Drosophila melanogaster: one gene and its partners. The protein of the gene in region 1 purifies or fractionates together with the protein of each later gene. This does not show direct contact. Each region holds a gene or a part of one and is shown on either strand. Other genes may lie near its edges.

What was found. Proteins that work in one complex are often made in the same cells at the same time.
Region 2: the proteins of pAbp (region 1) and tyf purify together in Drosophila melanogaster (affinity purification with western blotting; 4 studies listed by BioGRID, with this or other methods). This does not show direct contact.
Region 3: the proteins of pAbp (region 1) and eIF4G1 purify together in Drosophila melanogaster (affinity purification with western blotting; 3 studies listed by BioGRID, with this or other methods). This does not show direct contact.

The regions. Positions count from the first base shown.
Region 1 is NT_033778.4:18,138,464-18,147,245, forward strand, and holds pAbp (poly(A) binding protein), read left to right. Parts: upstream 1-1,614; 5' UTR 1,615-1,869; intron 1,870-2,313; exon of another isoform or gene 2,314-2,491; intron 2,492-2,911; exon of another isoform or gene 2,912-2,953; intron 2,954-3,024; 5' UTR 3,025-3,043; coding exon 3,044-3,209; intron 3,210-4,338; exon of another isoform or gene 4,339-4,475; intron 4,476-4,536; exon of another isoform or gene 4,537-4,679; intron 4,680-4,715; exon of another isoform or gene 4,716-4,861; intron 4,862-4,949; coding exon 4,950-6,434; intron 6,435-6,503; coding exon 6,504-6,757; 3' UTR 6,758-6,811; intron 6,812-6,878; 3' UTR 6,879-7,772; downstream 7,773-8,782. Other genes in the region: Pcl (polycomblike), read left to right, coding at 1-310, 378-773.
Region 2 is NC_004354.4:4,115,165-4,121,541, reverse strand, and holds the start of tyf (twenty-four), read right to left. Parts: upstream 3,993-6,377; 5' UTR 3,647-3,992; intron 3,579-3,646; 5' UTR 3,263-3,578; intron 3,187-3,262; 5' UTR 3,125-3,186; coding exon 2,525-3,124; intron 1,829-2,524; exon of another isoform or gene 1,247-1,828; coding exon 1,118-1,246; exon of another isoform or gene 1,102-1,117; intron 1,041-1,101; coding exon 306-1,040; intron 89-305; coding exon 1-88. Other genes in the region: Tip60 (Tat interactive protein 60kDa), read left to right, coding at 4,690-4,749, 4,817-4,943, 4,998-6,222, 6,328-6,377.
Region 3 is NC_004353.4:926,724-933,039, reverse strand, and holds the start of eIF4G1 (eukaryotic translation initiation factor 4G1), read left to right. Parts: upstream 1-2,324; 5' UTR 2,325-2,528; exon of another isoform or gene 2,529-2,758; intron 2,759-2,908; 5' UTR 2,909-2,960; intron 2,961-3,016; 5' UTR 3,017-3,140; coding exon 3,141-3,218; intron 3,219-4,888; coding exon 4,889-5,647; intron 5,648-6,316.

The DNA of each region.
Region 1 (8,782 bases):
TTCAAGCAGCAGTCGGGGAACCAGTTCGTTGGACCTCATCATACCACCGCCGGTCAACTTTTTGGGACGCAACAATCCATTCCTTATGGCCACTCCCAAAAAGGCGTCGCAGGGACGAAGTATTTCTGTGGGAACTGGAGTCGGAGTAAATGGCATCATAAACAGCATTTTCAAGCTTAAGGGCACCTCCAAGGAGCAGCCGCGCATGGTGCGCACCATCAAGCGAAGACTGAGTGCCAAAGACATTACGATAGGGCCCAATCAGGAAGTGCGCAGACGACGCACTCGCCGCCTGACCACGGCCATTGAGGTAAGAGTTTAACTAACAACAATGTAACTATAATGTTTGAGATGTTTTTTTCGTTTCCACTTAATAGGTCATCAGCACCACCACCATCAATCCCATACCCAGCCACTACCTTCCTATCTATGCCAAAGATCTGCAGCCACCCGCGCCGCCAATGGGAAAGCCGACACATGGGCGCCTGTTGCGCCAGCGACCACAGAAGCAGTCACCCAGCCAAAGCCGCCGGAACTCCACCAGCTCGACGGCAACCAGCAGCAGCAGCAACGGCATTGGAGCCCCAGGACATTCCATGCTGGACTTGAAGCAGTCGGTGAACAAGTACTTTGGTGGCGCTATGAATCGCATAGATGCTGGTGAGCCCTTTGCCATTCGGGCCAAGCGGCGCATGGGAAATGGACAGGTCCAGTACCTGGTGGAGTGGGGCGGAGATACAGCGACAACGGCGATTGGATTGCTTGGAAATTGAACCCTTTGGCATACCGACTCATTATGAATTTTATATTCTTCATTTCCATTATCATTTCTTTTCGTTATTATGTATTAATGAACGCTGCCAACTACGGGCCTCTTTATTTGTTAATGTTTAAAAGTTTATTACCAACCCACTGCCAAAATAGAAAAAGATTGTTCAAAATATTGGTTCAGCATTAAAGCGATAAAATGTTAAATTGTAAAAAAAAAAAACGAAAAAAAAGCAAAAAGCAACTGAATACAGGTTATAATTGTGCAATGGCAGTTAAGTGTTGCAGCAGAACATAAATAAGTTTTCACAAAATTGGTAAAAGTATTACAAGATTAATCTGGAAGCCTATGTAAAATTCGCTGATGAATGAAAACGTATTAAATAATGAGAACAATTCAGTTAAGTTCAGTACTGTACTTTAGCGATACGCCACGCCCATGTATGTTTTTGAAAAATATACCTTCAAATGGGAAAACTCACAAATCATGTCATGCATACAAAAAAAAAACAATTGATATACATACATACACACAAATTTAATAAAATGTAGGACTAGTTCAATAATTTTCACCCATAGTCTAGGCAAAACTACACAATAATGAATTAAGCCAGTACGTTTTATGTTTAACTATTAAATGCTACGAAAAATCAAAATTGAGTTGAAAGCAAACTAATTCTCAAGCCAAGTAAATGTTTGGCCAAACCAGATCGAAATATGTTTAATGAAGTATATAATGCCCAAATAAATGTTTCCGAAATGTCAAATCTTTTAAGATTTTACTCAGGACACGCCAGTAGGCGCCCAAAGTGACACTTCGCTTTGAAGCTTGTCAGGCACCGACGCCTCACACCGCTTCATTAGGTACTCGATCGCCAGATAGGGCACATGCACCAGACGTTCAAAACGGGAAAAAGAAAAAAAAAATTATCCTCAGCCATCCTTGAATGTGGTCTATTTCGTAAAAACAAAAACACAAAAAAAAAACTTAAAAAATTCTTCAATCTCTGTAGTGCCGATTTCCATCGAGAACGAAAAGAAGTACTCAAGCACTTCTCGGAGTGTCGACTTGCAGCCTCATCGCTTTATTCTCTGATTTAGGTAAGTTCGCACAGTGGGGAATTACAAAGATGGGATTCGGTTTTCGGAGCATACGCTAATATCTGTGCAGTGCCAAAAAATCATTTTCTAAAAGTCTACGCTCATTTTTAAAAGAAAAAAAAACTGCATTCCTAATTTTGGATTGTGTTTTATGAGACAAAGTATTCAAGGACATTGGCGAAAATATCAGAACATAAATGAAGCAGAGTTACCAAAGAACCCCTGAAAATGCACAAGTATTTCATGTTTCGGGAATTAGCTAAATATAAAAATTTTTTATGTGTGATGGCTGGCTTTTTTGAAATTCAAAATAATGCTTCGTAATTAGTAAATTGTCCTCACGGATTTTTTAGTGACATTTATTTGTCTCTAACCCTATGTGGCAGCATTGTGCAGTGGGATTTAATCGATACTTTGTGGGGTCATCGCTAACGAATCTCCTCTCTATGAGTCGTGTAGAGTCCGTTTACGTGAGCGGTCGTGGATTCGCTTTCAGCACACGGCTTATCACATATTTTTTGTGAAGAAAAAACATATAAAAAATAAAAAAAAATATTAAAACACAAAAACGTAACAAAAAAAATTGTAAAAAGTAGCAAAAAAAATCGAGCGTGTTTGAGAAGTAAGTACAGTGTAAAGCTATTGGTTACAATGGTGTAGAGAGTGAGAGGGCGCAACGCACGACAAAGCGAATAGGGAAATTTTCCTTTCCCATCGAAATTTGCTTTGTTTGCGGTCGTTCTTCGCTCAAAGATGGCGTCTATAAACGCCAGATTGCCCGCAAAATAGTGGTCTAGGAACTAGTTGTCGCATATTTTCGAGAAAATCAAAGAATTCCCCAAAATTCGATCAGGCAAACGCGTGTCTATCTTTGTGTCTGTGTGGAAATTTTCCAACACGAAGAGAAATAAAAGGGGAGAGCAAAGAGCAACAACAAAGCAAATGCCAACGTTGCCATGTCTACCGACTGTCACATGTACCAGTGTTGCCACCCAGACACACAGACAGAGAGACGAATAGAAGACCGAAAGCCACGCCGCTTTTTTTCTTTCTATTTCACCGCCTGCCTGGTCGAATCCATCCGGTCCGTAAAGATTAAGAAAAAACCCAAAATTCAGTGTCAAAAAAGTGGAAATTAATTGTTAAAAATTGCAGGTAGACCTGATCACCAAATATGGCTTCTCTATACGTCGGTGATCTCCCACAGGACGTCAACGAATCGGGACTTTTTGACAAGTTCTCGTCTGCTGGTCCAGTGCTGTCCATTCGTGTCTGCCGCGATGTGATTACCCGTCGCTCGTTGGGCTATGCCTACGTCAACTTCCAGCAGCCAGCCGATGGTGAGTAATCCCCGCAAAAGTAGTGTAATTTTTTTAGTCTTACTGCCCGCAAAAGTAGCCCCCTTCCGCGCGAAACAAAGAAAACACGTGTGCAGTTTTGCACTCGCTTACTCACACACGCACGCACACTAGCGCATGTCATACAGTGGGGCTAAACGCAAGTCCAAACTGGACTTTATTGAAAGATGTCTTTCATAGGAGACCAGATAAACGGCTTCCAAGTGTTTCATAACTTGTTCCACAGTGCACTGCTTACGTTAATCTCGTCGCGCACACACACACGCACTCAATTCCCGCCAGTGTGTACACACACACACATGATTATATCAGTTCCAGTTATTCTGGATGTATACGATTTGTGCGGGGGGATGATGGGGGCTAAACAGCTGGCTCGTGGCACTCATCAACTGTTCGCCTAGAAATTTCCGTCTCAATTTCGCACAAAATTGCAATTATGATGGAATAATATGGTTCCATACTGCCCAAACTGCTTATCGCAGCCCCGCCCATTGGTGGTTTCATTGTTTCCTTGCCCGTTCTTCTCGTTTTATTCGTGTGATGTGTGTTGTTTCCAAGCGGCAAACTTGCGCGCACGCACACGCCGACGCGCAAAAACATGTGTTCATTGTTGTTTGGACCATTTCTTTTTGGCCTTCATCTATTTTAGGTTATATTCCATTAACTGAGTTTCCGCACGTTCGCTCTTTAGTTTTCGTACTGCCTCCAACTTTTGTTTTGCTTTCACTTTCTCATATCTTCCATACTCTCCGCATTCCATCCATCAACACTTCCAAATTCTTGACATGTCAGTGAACTGCTTTTCGGCCTCTCTTTTAACCATCAAAATCTTGTTTTTACAAAAAACGAAAACAAAACTTTCACTGCGCATAGTTGGTGCTTCTTCGATTCCCGTTGTTCGCTTACATTTGTTTATTCAATTAAGCGCACAATGGCACAAAGCTGGCGGTTGGTGATGATTACGCTGCGTGTGAAAGTCTGTCGCATTCCAGCAAGTTTCTTGAACTCTAGCTGTTAAGGTTAGGTTGGAAAAACAGACCTTTCAAAAATGATACCATCTCGTTCTAGACTAGTAACACCCTAAATGTTTTTCTTTTTTCGATTCATATCTCGCAACTCCTACCCATTGGTTGGTCAGATTTATCTCTTTTTGACACGACTAAGATTCAATGTTGCCAGAGAAAGCAATGCAACTTACCATGTAGATGGCTGATCTATGCCATCCACAGAAGTAGAAGCATAACAAACACTAAATAATACATCATATGATTAGACTCGAAGGATTATGCCCTTTCTTATCTAAGCTTCTAGCAACTTCTACCCATTGGTTGGTCAGATTTAACCCATTTTGACACGACTAAGATTCATAGTTGCCAGAGAAAGCAATGCGACTTACCATGCTGATGGGTTTTGCATACCATCTGCATAACAAACACTCAATGTATCACATGATTAGACTGATAAGATTGTCCTTGTATTTAGACATCTAGCAACTCCTACCCATTGGTTGGTCAGATTCAACCCTTTTTGACACGACTAAGATTCATAGTTGCCAGATAAAAGATCAGACTTGACTTACCATGCACTGCGCTGCTTTTGCTCATGGCCAGTGCAGAAGTTGAAGAGTCACATTGTTATTTAAGCCCCTTCAACTTATAATGATCTTGATATACCCAAATCGTGTCGGTAGTAACCAAATGTTTTCCCGATTTTCATCAACAGCTGAGCGTGCTTTGGACACCATGAACTTTGACCTGGTTCGCAACAAGCCCATTCGCATTATGTGGTCTCAGCGTGATCCTTCTCTTCGTCGCTCAGGTGTGGGCAACGTGTTCATCAAGAACTTAGATAGGGCCATCGACAACAAGGCAATCTACGACACTTTCTCCGCCTTCGGCAACATTTTAAGCTGCAAGGTAGCCACCGATGAAAAGGGCAACTCAAAGGGCTATGGATTCGTCCACTTCGAGACCGAGGAGGCCGCAAACACGTCCATCGACAAAGTCAATGGCATGTTGCTCAACGGCAAGAAGGTCTACGTGGGTAAGTTCATCCCGCGCAAGGAGCGCGAGAAGGAGCTGGGCGAGAAGGCTAAGCTCTTCACCAATGTATATGTGAAGAACTTCACTGAGGATTTCGACGATGAAAAACTGAAGGAATTCTTTGAGCCCTACGGCAAGATAACCAGCTACAAGGTCATGTCCAAGGAGGATGGCAAGAGCAAGGGCTTCGGATTCGTTGCATTCGAGACAACAGAGGCTGCTGAGGCGGCCGTTCAGGCTCTCAATGGCAAGGACATGGGAGAGGGCAAGTCCCTGTACGTGGCTCGTGCCCAGAAGAAGGCCGAACGCCAGCAGGAGCTGAAGCGCAAGTTCGAGGAACTGAAGCAGAAGCGTCACGAGTCTGTGTTCGGCGTTAACTTGTACGTTAAGAACCTGGACGACACAATCGATGACGATCGTCTGCGCATCGCGTTCTCTCCATACGGCAACATCACATCGGCCAAGGTCATGACCGATGAGGAGGGTCGCTCCAAGGGATTCGGCTTCGTGTGCTTCAATGCCGCAAGCGAGGCTACCTGCGCCGTCACCGAGCTGAACGGTCGCGTCGTCGGCAGTAAGCCGTTGTACGTTGCTTTGGCCCAAAGGAAGGAGGAGCGCAAGGCTCATCTCGCCTCGCAGTACATGCGTCACATGACCGGCATGCGTATGCAGCAGCTGGGACAGATCTACCAGCCCAACGCGGCTAGCGGCTTCTTTGTGCCGACCCTTCCGTCAAATCAGCGTTTCTTCGGTTCCCAGGTGGCCACTCAGATGAGAAACACACCCCGCTGGGTGCCCCAGGTGCGTCCCCCAGCAGCCATACAGGGTGTCCAGGCCGGAGCTGCCGCTGCTGGTGGCTTCCAGGGCACAGCCGGTGCGGTGCCCACTCAGTTCCGTTCGGCTGCTGCTGGCGCTCGCGGGGCACAGCCTCAGGTGCAGGGCACACATGCCGCCGCTGCTGCGGCTAACAACATGCGCAACACTGGAGCACGCGCTATTACTGGCCAGCAAACTGCAGCACCCAACATGCAGATCCCCGGAGCCCAAATCGCTGGCGGTGCCCAGCAGCGTACTTCCAACTATAAGTACACCTCAAACATGCGCAATCCTCCAGTGCCACAGTTGCATCAGACCCAGCCAATTCCACAGCAATTGCAAGGAAAGAGTAAGTTTTAGGTCGACTGAAAATATGCACAATTTGTCACTAATGGCACCATTGCTATTTTTCTTGCAGATTCTGAGAAGCTCATTGCCTCGTTGCTGGCCAACGCCAAGCCGCAGGAGCAGAAACAGATCCTGGGCGAGCGTCTGTATCCGATGATTGAGCATATGCACGCCAATTTGGCTGGTAAGATCACCGGCATGTTGTTGGAGATCGAAAACTCTGAGCTCTTGCACATGATCGAGGATCAGGAGGCCCTTAAGGCCAAGGTGGAGGAGGCTGTGGCCGTGCTTCAGGTGCACCGCGTCACCGAGCCCGCCAACTAAGCTCGAACAGCTCAAGCGTATGAACATTTTACAAGAACACTTTACACCCAAAAAGTAAGTAGTCTACAAATTTTCCGAAAAGTTCAAGCTGTCTAAACTCGCCTCTCTTTTGTCCTTGCAGTTTTCCACTAATCTTTCAATACATGAACAACAAAAATTCGCATTCACTGATGCTTTGCGCAGGGGAGGATTGCCAAGGACACACAATTAACACAGAAAAACAAAGCGAAAAATCTACGGCTTTTTCTTTTCTAATCCCAGAAACATCAACAAAAGCAATTTCAATCATTTAATTTCGAACGCATTTACGCAAGTACACGAAGCAAAAGAAGAAAGTCACGCAATCAAATTCTGCAGTCCACTTATAAATTCTTTTTTTTTACATAAACATGTTAATTAAAAAAAAAAACGGAAAAATGTGAAATGAAAAAAATTTCGTTATTGCTTTAACTGGATCGATATTATTTTGTATGCGTATAATGAAAACACCAAAAAACCATTGCAAAATAAACAGATTAAAGCAAAGCATACATGTAAACCGCTTCTTGCAAGTATTGAAATTGTGTTTTAAAAATTTTAAAGAAGTTTCTAGTGTTACATACATATTGAGTTTTTCGTACACTTTTTCCATCCACACTTTCAAACAACAACAAACACGAAAGCGATATGTAATTTTTTTCAATTCTTTTTTCTCAAATTCAAACTTTAAGAAAGCTTTGTTTAGAAAAAGAAACGCGACAACCATACACTTTTAAAAAAGCAAAGAAAAAACAAAAAAATTGCAAAAGAGTTAAAATAAAAACGAAAAAATGGAAAGCAAACTGTGCAGAGAACAGAAGAATAGAAAGAAAGAAAGAAAAAGAAAACCGCAAGAATATGAGAGTCAAGTTTTTGCTACTTTGAAAAAAGAGAGAAAATACAGAATACCAACAGCTGAAAAAATATGTTGACAAATGAAAACAAAACATAAATCGAAAAAACTACAAAAAAATGGCAAAACCTATGTAAAAACAGCAAAAAAAAAATAATATATATAAACACAAAAACACACACACAGCAACACACATATTAAACAACCACAACATATATGAGAAATACAAGAAACACATGAAAAGCGCTAAAGCGTAAACAACTTATGAAGCATATTAATAAACAACAAAAAAGCAGACAGGATTTTTATGATTACACTATTATCCGAGAGAAGGAAAAACATGCATACATTTATAAACATTTGCAAGAACATATATGTATTTAATGAGAAGGAGCTGGTAAGTCGCCTCGATTTCATTTGCGTTCCGATTTCTGTTACAAAGGATATCGAGAGTTTTACCAGTAAATGATGTTTTTACACCATACATACATAAAATGATATATTAACGCAAGCGGAAGTAAGAAATGGCTTTCGCTCTGGGCAGTGAAATACATATTTTTTTATTAAACAAATCGAAAACTAAAAACAAATAAAAACCCAAGGAAAAATCATTGAAAAAATTGCAAAACACAAAACCACATGTATGCAGAAAATGCAAAATTATTTAAAAAAAACAAACAAACAAAATAATGAGAGTAAAACAGAAAAAAAAAACATAACCAAAACCCGAATTGGAATGTTAGTTCAAGGGAAATTGCGAAGAAGAAAACTTTTACTTTTCACGAAATATACGCAAGTCAACACACTTCTATATATAGCAGATATATATATGTATCCTTATATATTAAAGCGAAATAAAACATAATTTGTATGATTAAAGAAAATAGGATTCTTGAAACTTGATTGCCCGTCTTCGAAGCAAAAGCCCAGCAATTAAAACCATTTGAAGAAATTGTAATAAATGCAGAGAGAAAGTCCTTAAAACATACCTTTGTACACCCAACAAATTTAATTACAATAAAATTCCACTTCGGCAAAAGCGAGTGTTTTCATTTTTCAGCGGAATGTGGGTGGGATGGATTTTTATGTTTAATATCTATTTAATATTAACATACATATATGATATTGCTTTCATATGAGATGAGATGCCATAT
Region 2 (6,377 bases), on another chromosome or scaffold:
TGCCGGCACCGGTGTACCTGGCCTCCAATGGCGTGTCGTTTAGGGCGTCAATCAGAAACTTCATCGAGGGGTTCTGAGGATCCAATTGCTGTACATGAAATTGAAAGCGGGGGAATTAGAAATGTATGTACACAGCCCCATCTGCGCGGATCCCAAAATCACGAGATTAATCACAGAGTGTAGGTCGATGCAAGAAGTTTGTCTCTTACAAACTCGTTCGTTAGTCGATTTAGATAGAAATCAATCTACTATGTGAAAGATTATCTAATCGACAGTAAATGGCTCCAATACTTGGCATCGCTTACCTCCAACATGTTGTCGTCTTGGTCGCCGCTGGCACCGACAACGGCGCTGGCACCAACACCCGTCGCATCGTCCATGTCCAAGTCGAACTGATTGTTTGCCTCCGTATCGCGCGATTGAGTTATCAGGCTGCTGCAACTGCCGGTGCTGCTGCGGTGGTGGTGCTTGTTACCGACCGACCCCGAAAACGAGCCACCTGCAGCTTCTGTCGAAGGCTGAGCCTGTTGCTTATTCTGCTTGGCTTCCATGGCAGACGATGCCGGCTCAAAGTTAACACTGCTGGGCAGGCTGCCTCCTTCGCGCTGCCGGCCCGAGACGTTTAAGTTCTTGATCTTTTTGGATGCGGATGCGGAGGAGGTGGCGTTTTGGTTGTGCTGCTGTTGCTGCTGCTGCTGCCGGCGATTGGAGCGACCACTCAGCTGGTAATCACAGTTGAAACGTTGGGTTGCTGCCGCTGTCGCTGCTGCTGCCGCCGCCGCCGAGGTTGTGGCCAGTTCGCTGCGGTGCGCCGCCTCAACGAGATCCTGCAGGGAGCCGCCCTGCTTGTGCCGCTGGCCGGGATCCGTTGACCGGTGATTGGTGGAATTATAGCTGCTGTTGTGCCCTGCACTGCTGCTGCTCCCGCCGCTCGAGCCTGTTGCTGCACTGGACGTTAGTGCGGATGGGTTGATTGTGAGGCAGGATTTGATGGCACGATAAGAGATCTCTTCGTCGTACTCAGCCTTTTTGAGCATTTGCTGCAGGCGTAAAAGACGTGAAGCAGAAATATTTATACACACATATATATGTTGCACATACATGAGCCAAAACTTACCAGAAATCGCTCGCTCTTGTTCTTCCTGTCGCCAGGATTTCGATACCAGTAGGCCTCTTCGAGAAGTTTCTTCAATGATGCGTCGTCCAGATCATTAAAATCGCTATCTTCCCAGGTATCGTATTTTGTCTGCAAAAGCGTCGAAGAACAATATTTGGCAATTAGTTTTGCAATTTTTCGGGTCATCAACACGAACACATATGCGTGTAAAACAATAATCGCTGCGACTTAACCTAAAAAAAAAAAAACAAAAGAATTCGGAGCTCCACTTATTCCAAACACATGCCCTTCTGAGTTCCTTATGCGAACTGATGAAGTACCGACCGCAGAGCAATAGAAGTATTAAATGGCACACGGTTCCAGTAAGTAAACGCTCTACATACGCACACACATGTGTACTATATGGTGTTGCACACGAACACAAGAAAACAGAAAAAAAAAAAAAAAACAATAACTGAAATAATAACGGGAATAGGCGAGAAGTTTTCGTGGTTAATGCCGCGGATGTCACCAATGCTTTTATAAGATAAACAAACGCTTTGCGGTTTTATCCGTTCCTTCTGCCCGATTCGGGGTCTTGATTTCAATAATTATCGAAGGCGCTGGTCAAAAAACCGACTGCGATCAGAAATTGAAGTTCCTGTGTGGCGATTACTTGATGGGACCAAATGTAACGGCACTATTTCGAAAGCCACAATCCCAGTCAGTCAGAACGAGATAACAGTATGCTTGGTCTATTTCTACATCATTTTCGAATTCTTTGCCATTAACTTCGTAAACGGTACTTTGGCTTCTATTCGCATACATATATGTATGTATGTGAGTATGTATTCATTAGGGGGATGCAATTTGACTGTCAATATTTATTTTTTTTTTAATAAAATTCGGTTTTCGATAAAACAGTGTTTGTGAGTGAGTAATCGGCTCACTTAAAGTTTTTTCCAAAGGTCATGTTTTAAGGGGATTTCGGCATTTTCATTTTCGACAACTTTAATGGACCGCAAGCGTAAGAATCTATTTTAGTTTATAGCTTAGTGTGCAAATAAACAATATTTATATCTAATTTATGTATACCTTGGTTTTGGTGGTAACGTAAAGATCGGACAACTTGCTGTCCAATACTGGAATTCCACCCAAAATCGAAATTAGTTTCAAATTTTACGTTTACTTAGTTGTTTCTCAACTTAGTCGCCCTGGTAGAGCTCTATTCAAGCCTGGCCATGCATAAGATATGGAGTCCAAACACCATAGAGCTTTGGAGCCTCCAGAACGTACACAAATGTGAAATTTTGCGAGTAACAAACATAACTATACCTTTTTCTTAATAAAACAATATCTTAACTCGGTTTCTGCTTAACATGCACTATATTTCCACCTTAAGATGCAACTCAGCCAGAGCGCACTTACCTTTTTCTTCTTCTGTCGCTTGCCGACATTCTGATCGTCCTGGGTCTTGCCCTTGGCAGTGGCTCCGTACTGGAGTACCCTGCGGTTTGGTCGCGACAGTTCAGCGCTGGGCGAATCCTTTAGCATGGCAAAGACCTGCGAGAAGGACGTATCTCCTGCTGCTGCTTCTGCTGCGGATCCTTTGGCAGCGTCTGCCGTGGCTGCGTGGTTACCAGAGCTATGGCTATTACTAGGGGATGATGACTTCTTGGGGTCATTGCCTCTGCTGCTACTGCCGCTGGTGGCTACATGGTTGGCAGCCACTGGTGCCGCTCCTTGGCTGTCCTCGTCTTTGGCCCCCTGGTTCCTACAGGCCTCGTCAAGCTGCGCGTCTGCCTTCGCCACATGGTCTGACATCATGGTCATAAGCTGCTCCTGTGGGAACGGCGTCGGCGTTGTTTTGGTGACGGTGGTCGTCGTGGTGCTCTCGCTCATCGTGCCAGCGGCAATCGAGACGATGGGCGTGTCCGGTATGATCGTTGGCAGTTTGGCAGCTGCTCCACCAGATGCCACACGATCCGCCGGTGTGTCCGATGATGACGGCGTTTGTTCATTGTTCATCTTCTTTCGTTTGGTGGCATGCAACGAAGGAGAAAAACAAATGCCATTCGAATTCCTCGAATCTGTTAGGGCGTGTGAGAAGAGGGGAATGTTTGTTTTAGTAAACGGGTATATCTCGCATTCCCATTAACTGCTTACAAACTGTTTCTTCTCTTCGCGATGTTTCTAGGTAGCCCAGCTGCCCAGCCGCCGTGTGGTTGCCACCGCGACTGCAAGTGCTCTGCAGGCTGTTCCGCCGATTCCTAACGATTCCTCTCGACTTCCAGACGGTTTGAGGCACAGGGGAGCCCACCTATTGCGCATCAGTTTGGACTCCTGCTGCACTTGACAGGCCTGTCGTCAGTAGCTCTCCTCCGGCTCAAACCTTTGCTCGCGGCATTTACGTAGGTTCCTGGGCACGGGGATGCGGATTGCTCGCAAACAGACCGGAATACGGAAATGTGTGCGCACGGATCTGCAATTGATTGGGAAATGGGGATGAAGTTGAGACTAAAACTGAAACTGAGACATTGGACCACTGACTGGGTGTTTTGCAGCATTTGTTGTTGTTCTGGTCATGCGGACGAGCGACAAGGGGCGGTGGGTGGTAGCAGGTGCGTCTGTTTAGTCTTTGGCGACCCCTTGCGGCCCACTGACTTCGAATTTCTTTAAAAAGCACTGGTCTCTTTCCATATTCATTTTTTTTATTTTTTTTTTTTTTTGGCTAAAAAGCAGTGTTGCTAACTACGCTGCGTGCCAGGGTTGACAAATGCTGTTTGTTGTTTGTAGGGGCAAGCCGTTGAGATTGCTAAATCGGCGTTTGCTCTAGGCTTGCATCTTACTAATCAACACGAGATTGCCTGCCCGTTTTGCAACTAATTAGTGGGATATGCCCATCGAGTTGGCAGCCCTGCGGCTGTTGTCAGTGGCAACACTATCGCAAAACACGTCATTTTGACACAGCTTTTTCACCAATTTCCCGCTCAGCTCGTCAGCATTGGGGCACTGCGGCACAGTTGCCCAGCAGTTGTGGTCACAATTACCCAGTAACTGAAGTTTTCCGCGGATCACAGTAGTCATTTATTGATAAATACGCCAGTCGATGACAGCTGTATAACTTTCTGCGCACTCACACGAGCGCACACGAATGTACGCACCCACACACACGCACACAAATTTACGCCTGTGTACATTTCTCTGACCTTCTCAGCGTTTTTATTTTTTGGTTTGGCAACTGAAAAGAAGGGAGCACATAACTGCGCACTCAAGTTCTAGCAACTGCAATTGAGTCGAACGGTTGTGCTTAATATGTTACAGTTGTTTGTAAGCGGGCGAAATTGTTTAATTGCACAGTAGGCACATGAGAAAAAATACCGAACCCGAATTGAAAAACTCTCTGGAATTGTTGTTGTGTTGTGCAGCACTTTGAAAAGGCGACGCGACGCTGCGCAGCACTGCCCATGTCATCAACATTTTTAAACCGCTGATTCACTGTGGCGGTAATCGATTGGTCGATAGTTATTTACGTTTCGCTATCTGGCAATACTGCTGTTTTAGGAAAAAAAAAACGCGTAAAATATAAACAAATGAAAATTAACCACAAATATGAGTTCGACGACGATGTGGCCTCCATATGCGAGTCAACGGTGGGTTCCGCTACGCCTTGGCGTGTTTTGGGTGTTCATTCTAATGGTTTTAACCGCAAACTTGCAGGCCGCCCTAACCGAGGGATGTCGTTTACCCGTCAGGATGCACAAAACGGACGACTGGCCACTAGCGGAGATTGTGAGCATCAAGGAGTTGGATGGGCGCCGGCAGTTTTACGTGCACTATGTGGACTGTGAGTACCAAGTCGTCCAGTGGGAGCATATTTAGTATAACTGCCAATCCGCAGTCAACAAGCGCTTGGACGAGTGGGTCAACGAGGAGGATCTGTACACGCGAAAGGTGCAATTTCCGCGGAGAGACGGCTCACAAACAGGCACCAGCACTGGAGTGACCACGCCACAGCGCCACCATTCCCTAGCGGGCAGCGTTTCTCGGCCTACATCACCGCAACACCCTGGTTCCGGGGCTCTGGCAGCCATCCCCCAGACTCCTACTGGTGCATCAGGCAGTGTTCCTCCCCCTGCTGGCATTCCAAACTCTGTGGCTCCACCCGGAACACCAAGCAGTGGGGGAGAGCTTGTGAATGGCAACAATCTGGCCGCAGCCCTTCAGAAACGCATCAATCGCAAGCGAAAAAACCACGGAGGCTCGGCCCATGGACACCACAGTCTGACCAGTCAACAGCAGCAGTCACATCCGCATCCTACAACTCCGCAGACACCCACGGCTACGCCCGTGCATGTGACCGGCGACGGTTTAATAAGCGGAGCGGCCAATGATGATGGTGATGGATCGCAGGATGGCAAGACGCCCACGCCGAGGCAATCAGGCAGCATGGTTACGCACCAGGACGACGTGGTCACCCGCATGAAGAACGTGGAGATGATCGAGCTGGGCAGGCATCGCATTAAGCCCTGGTATTTCTCACCCTATCCGCAAGAGCTGTGTCAAATGCCCTGCATCTACATCTGCGAGTTCTGCCTGAAGTACAGGAAGAGCAGGAAGTGCCTGGAGAGGCACCTGTCCAAGTGCAATCTTAGGCATCCACCGGGAAACGAGATCTATCGCAAACATACAATTTCCTTCTTTGAAATCGATGGACGCAAAAACAAGGTGTATGCCCAGAACTTGTGCCTGCTTGCCAAACTCTTTCTCGACCACAAGACACTCTACTATGATACCGATCCGTTTCTCTTCTACGTAATGACAGAGTTCGACTCGCGCGGCTTCCACATAGTAGGGTACTTCTCCAAGGAGAAGGAGAGCACAGAGGACTACAACGTGGCCTGCATTCTCACAATGCCTCCGTATCAGCGCAAGGGCTACGGCAAGCTGCTCATTGAGTTCAGCTACGAGTTGTCCAAGTTCGAGGGCAAGACGGGATCGCCGGAGAAACCATTGTCTGATCTGGGTTTGCTGTCCTATCGATCGTACTGGGCGCAAACCATACTGGAGATCTTTATCAGCCAAAACCCGAGCACGGACGGCGAAAAGCCCACTATAACTATAAAGTATGGCTAGTTCTAAGCTTAAAGTAATACAATTTTCAATCCACAGAGATTGTGCTTCATTGCCGAAACATAGATTAATCATGCTCCCAAAATTTTTCTTCACAGCGACATCTGCGAATGCACATCCATCAAAAAAGAGGACGTGATCTCAACGC
Region 3 (6,316 bases), on another chromosome or scaffold:
CTCGAGTACGGATCACTATCACCTGTTTGGAGTCCACAATACGCAGTCCACTCGGACCGCATTGAATCGGTCCAAAAAAACTTATTACGTTTTGCTTGCGGCGCCTAAAGTGGGATGCAAACCGTATATTACCTCCTTATTCCAGTACACTACGTTAATTTAATTTACCGTCCCTAGCTAACCGTAGAACCAAAGACACTAGAATAACAAGATGCGTAACGCCATACGATTTTTTGGCACACGATTTTTTCGCCGTGGCTCTAGAGGTGGCTCCAGGCTCTCTCGAATTTTTGTTAGAGAGCGAGAGAGCGGAGAGTGCTACAGCGAACAGCTCTTTTCATCGCATAAAGTGATAGCAGACAACTGTATGTGTGCACACGTATGCTCGCTCATGCATTGTAAATTTCACAAAATATGCCCTTCACCTTAGAAGTTCTTTGACTTTAAATCTATATTATTTTTGATCAATTGGCACCATGCGAAAAATTCTTGTTTTGCATTGCCTTAACGTTATTATTATATGAAAATAGATTAGAAATAGCCAAATCTATGTACATATTATCACAAAAATAAATTTCAAAAATGACTTTATATAAGAATATTTGTCATTAGAGTATTCATCTTGCGGCGTGTGAAAAATTAATAAGGCAATGATTGTTGAGTGCTTGTGTCCGTACTTCGTGCTTCAAGATATGAACAAAGCAAAGACACTAGAATAATTCTAGTGTCTTTGATATGACTTTTGCAATAAACAGTTATCATATTTAATTATTTACTATATTTATTATGTCATTTGACTTTATATGATGTAACATTAACATTAAAAGTGTTTAAAAAAAAAAATATTTCGCTTTCTTAAAAAATTGTCAGATGAGAGACAAATTAGAATTAAACATAAATATAAATGTGTAAACGGTAGCTAATTCGAGCGGCGATTTTAACAAACAAATTTAAAAAGCTTTAAAATGATAATAGTCAGTTAAAAATTATTTTATTTTATCATATTGCTACGAAATTGGCAAAAACTACCCTAATATGTACAATGTAAATTCGTTTTTTCGATCAGAATTGATTTCGGTCCGAAAATCGTCTTCTAGCACAACACGCACACATATATGCGTTCTCGTCTCTTGTTTTTACTCACACAAGCAAGCAAATTCTATTTTTAGATTTCTTATGCTCTCAGCGGGAGCGAGCGGAAAGAGAGCAATTTTGGCCGTCACTAAAAAATTGGCTGCATAGTGCCAAACCAATGTATGGCCGCTACGCATCTTGTTATTCTAGTGTCTTTGGTAGAACTATGCTTGGAACAGTCTTTATTTGTAAGCTTATTCGTGGGGATGTTAAGAGTTCTGACTTGATTAGTCGGCTTAACTTCTCAGTTCGAAGTAGTTCTCAGTAGTAGTTCTCAGTTCCTTATTTCAGTTCTCAGTTCCTTATTTTAAATCATTGTAGATCTAACTATGAGTTGCGTGACCCTTACAGAGTATTATGTTCTGATTATAATAGACTTTATCCTAATATCTGTAATCTTGACTCTCTGCCGCTCACAAAGCAATTGATTTTACCTTTTTTTATTTTATGATTAGATCCTACTAACAGTAATATTTAATATAGTTATTTTATATTATATTCATTTCCTCGATCCTGTTCTCTTTTTTATATCGCGTCTATCCTCTCGCTAATCGAGGCGTACGATACACGGCAGCGCCCCTCGTTCGGTTGGTCGGGAGGTGTCGCCGTTGGACCCGTGCCAAAAAAAAAAAATATATAATAATAATATAAAATAATTGGGTCTGAATACGGATTATTTTTGTTTTGATTTAAATTCTTTTATTTATCGATATTTTGATGTAATATAGAATCGTTTTTTACCAATTTCTTTATTGTCATATGTATTTTAGTCAGTGTGAAAGGGTCTTATTTTGGCCATAATTAACTAATTATATTTTACGTTCAAGAAACCCTAATTACGATGAAATTAACATTTTGTTTTAAAGTTGCCCATATGTTGTATTCTTAGATATAATGATCTATTTAGCCATGTTGCGGAAAGGGCTCATTATCAGGAATTGAACGCTGGCATAGCATGTACAATCATTATTATAATTTTGGCAAACCTCAATAGAATAAACGTATTATGAAGTAGTTTTAGTAAATAATTAACATTGAAATATGATTTTTTTTTTATTTTTAAAAACTTATGGTTAGCAAAAAATTAAATTATTAATGATGAAGCGTTTAAAAATGTGACCTAACTATCGTTGATAATGATATTCTTCAGTTATCACTATTTCTTGTGTGCTATCGATGTTTCAAATAATAAATGCAACTCTGTTCGTATGAACAGAACACATTGCATGTGGAAATTATTAAAAAATAGTTTTTGAATGTAAAGATAAAGCTGGAATTACTGCTTCATTTTTATAAATAAATACATTTTTAAAATACACTTAAAGTGGAATTCTTAACATTTGTATTTTTTGTACATAATCACGTCGGATAGGCACATACAAACATTTGCTCAGGTAAATTGATGGTTAATAATGAGCACTGGGCAACAAATATTACATGATACTTTGCAAGTTTACTGTGCACAGTGAAGGGAAAAAAGATTTTACCACTAACATTCTGAAATGTGTCTTAACTTTTTAAAAATGATGTAAACGATGGAATTCGTGGCACGTTTTCACCATATGCACCATTGTGATTGTGAGAACGAAATCTCCAAAGTCACAACGGCAACGTCGGCAAATAAGTAAGGCTCCAGGATGGATTGGCAAATGTTTAATAGAAATTATCTCTGGGCTTCAGCTCTAGACTTAATAAATTACAAAATGTCTACTTTATATTTTTGAAACATTTGGGTGAAATCTTTTGTGATATTTAATGATTTTATACGTGTCAGTTCTTTTAATTTCAGAGACCTCTCTGGTAGCTGTATATCAATATATTTCCAGGTAAAATATGCAGAACTGAAACGTGGACAATTAATATTCATTAATATTCATTAAAGAATCAAATGATTGAATGACGTCGTATTTGTGGGTCCAAAATCACCACAGAAATCGTCTATGAAACGGTAAATCTAACCGTTTGGCGATTTCCTACAGAGCTAACTCTAGGAATACACATACGTAATGCAACAGGCTATACCAACTTTACCAACACAATCAGATATAGATAAAGCCATGCAGCCCCATTCAGCACAAAATATGGTAAGTCGATATAAAAATAACATCTCCAAAATTATTTACATATATACATTTTGACATTATTTGCTGTATTACTTTCCTTGCAATTGTTTTAAATTAGTTCGTTAAATAAATATGTTTTCCTAGTTCCGAAAAGAGCTAAAACCTATTTTTTATAAGTTTGCCTGCTGTAGTCAATGTAAACAATCTATTAAGATAGTATCACACTTCTCGTACAATAACAGCAAAGTTTAAAAAGAAAATGCTATTTTTGTGGAATTTTTTTATATGTTTGTTTTATAAATATTGCGGTTTGTATAAAAGGTATATAATTCAATTAAAAAATTTATAAAATATATGTTTGCGATTACAATTATTTAAGTTACTTACTAAATGAATTAAAAAATTAAAAATTTTTTTAACGAACTTGATTGAATACTAATAATTGTTCTAGTCCTGTAAAGCTACATAATTCATAAATGAAGCTCTTCCGGGCATGGTATGAAGTACTTTATTTAAAACCTAAACTATAAAAAACCGCGTTTTTCCAAACATACATAAATCATATAGTTTTTATCGGTAAAAATATTAATTAAAAAAATTTTTATTTCAACGGTGGCTCCAAAAATGGATGCTGAATCTGGTTTGTTGGTAACTGGCAGACACTCAGCAACGTAATTTTAAAGCTAAACTCAAAACGCATTGTGATTAATCTATCCAAGGGAAAAAAAATATTCGAAATGTATTTTATTATATTGATTTAAAGGATTAATGATTTCACATATCCAAGTCACAGAATCAGTCCATATATAATAGTCCCTAATATAATAGTTTCGTTGTTTTTATTCATAAAATGTCAACTTGATATTGTATTTTATAGTGATGTCCTTTTGAAGGGCTTAATGATATAAGGCATATATTTAAATCGCAGTAAAAGAGATATTTGGGACCATATAAATTATATATATATTCTTTATCAGTATCAGCAGCCGAGTAAAATAAATATAAAATAGTCCAGAAGATAATAGCTTCATACTTTTTATTTCTGAATGACAACTTGATATACACCGTTTTTTGACCGCGTATAACTTTGGTTTTAAGGCTAATTGTCAACATGCCGGCGACGACTAAGGAGCAACAGTCGGAAAATTAAATGAAGCTATAACAAAATAAATAATAGTTTAATTGTTTTTAATCATTTAGTGTTCTTATTTTGTACGCACAACTTTTTTTTTATTAATTAATTAATCTTGTAATCTATCATTTGAACTGTGTTAGACAGCTAAATCCCATAAACATTATTTGTCCATAGGGGACGTAGGACAAAAACTCTAAACCCTAATAAAATTATCAAACCCAATGCATGTTTTATATATATTTGTTAATTCTGGATTTATTTATCACAAAATTTGAGGCTGAAAAGTATTAAAAAATCTGCATAAGTATAATATTCAAATTTCACAGTGCAGAAGTGTAATACTACTCAAAATTCCGATTCTTGATTTCTCAGTTTCATTTTATTTTTAAATGGGTTTGTTTTGGTTTTTTTAATACTTTGTTTAAGTGCAATAAAGTAGGATTAACCAATTATCTAATAGTTTTTATAACTTATATATTCGGCAACATTTTTTTTTAATCATTGTTAAATCAATTTTACAGTCCGAAAATGTTCCCACTCTTGTGATCTGTTGTAGATTTTGCCAGCCAATAAAAAGACCAAAAAGTATGATCAACAGGTGCCAACTTCAAAGCCACAATCTCTTCATCAGCCTCTTCAACCGCAGCATAGCCATCCCACTGCTCAGCCTCAGTTTCAGATAAATAAGGCATACAATGTGGTCTCCATTCTTAAGGCATCAGCGCAGATCGCTCAACAGTCCCCACACTTGACGAATCAGCAGCATCCACCAATCCATCACCCACAGCAAACACAGCAGCATCAACAAAGCTATACAAACGTTGTAAATAGAAGCTTATCTGCGTCTGAACCAGTTAGAGCCCAGTCATCGGTTATCTGTAACGGTTCAAGCATATTGACAGTAAATAGTAGACAACTGAATTCGGGTGATATGAATTCGACTGCCATTTATAACATATCCAGTTACCGAAAATTAACTGGAAGTCTAGATGGAAATGTTTGCTTTCTAAATGTACAGGACATTAAACAAAATGGCAACATCAGTGGGTCAGTAGTATCAAATAAGTCCATCGTCGGAGTCGGAAGTGAAAAAAGTTCTTGTACTGGAGTCAGTATTAACAACCAAATAGTATTGCCTAATGCGCAAATAGGAACATCTATGGGAATAGCTGGAACAACTACAGCAGGCACAAGCTACATGCACGAAAAGAATATCGTTGGCGTTAGCGTCAATTGTGTTAATACTAGTAAAAAGTATGATTTCAATAACAGTAGTTTGTTATCAAATAATAGTTACCCGGCATCTACAGCAGAGGTAAACCTTGCAAATTCTGTGACTTTAGGAAGAGATTCATTTTAAATAATTCTTAACTTCATTTCACCTCCCTTTTTTTTAATAATTAGTTTTTAAATACTTTAGGTCCCAAAATTTATTAAATATCAATACGATTTTTTATTTAATGAGCAGTTTTTCTTATAATGTGAATATATGTATACTTTTATATTGTACTCACAGTGCCTAATGTAATGTAAAGAAACCAAGAAACCCGCTATAGTCGAGTTCCTTGACTAGCTAGTTGGAGGCGAAAAAAATGGGGAAGAAAAAATATAGAAATACAAATCATTTAAACATTTTGGAAGATTGGGGGCAGCCTTTTGCGCTTTAAGGGCGTTAGGACATGCCGATATAAATTGGCAAGACAAATCACCAAATAACCAACGGATTCTGCTTGCGTGATCTCAACTTTCTGACACAATTCCCAAAATCGTTACGTTCATAAGGCTAGATCGACTCGGCTAGTGAGGCTAATAATATATATATATATATATATATATATATACTCTATAGGGTCTGAAACGCTGCATTCTAACTGCTACTTTTCAAAGAATTTAGTATAACCTTTTCCTCTACTAGTATATATTAAATATTTATTCTGATTATTTAAGTTTTACATTCTTCACTGCATTATCTTTATAATAATAA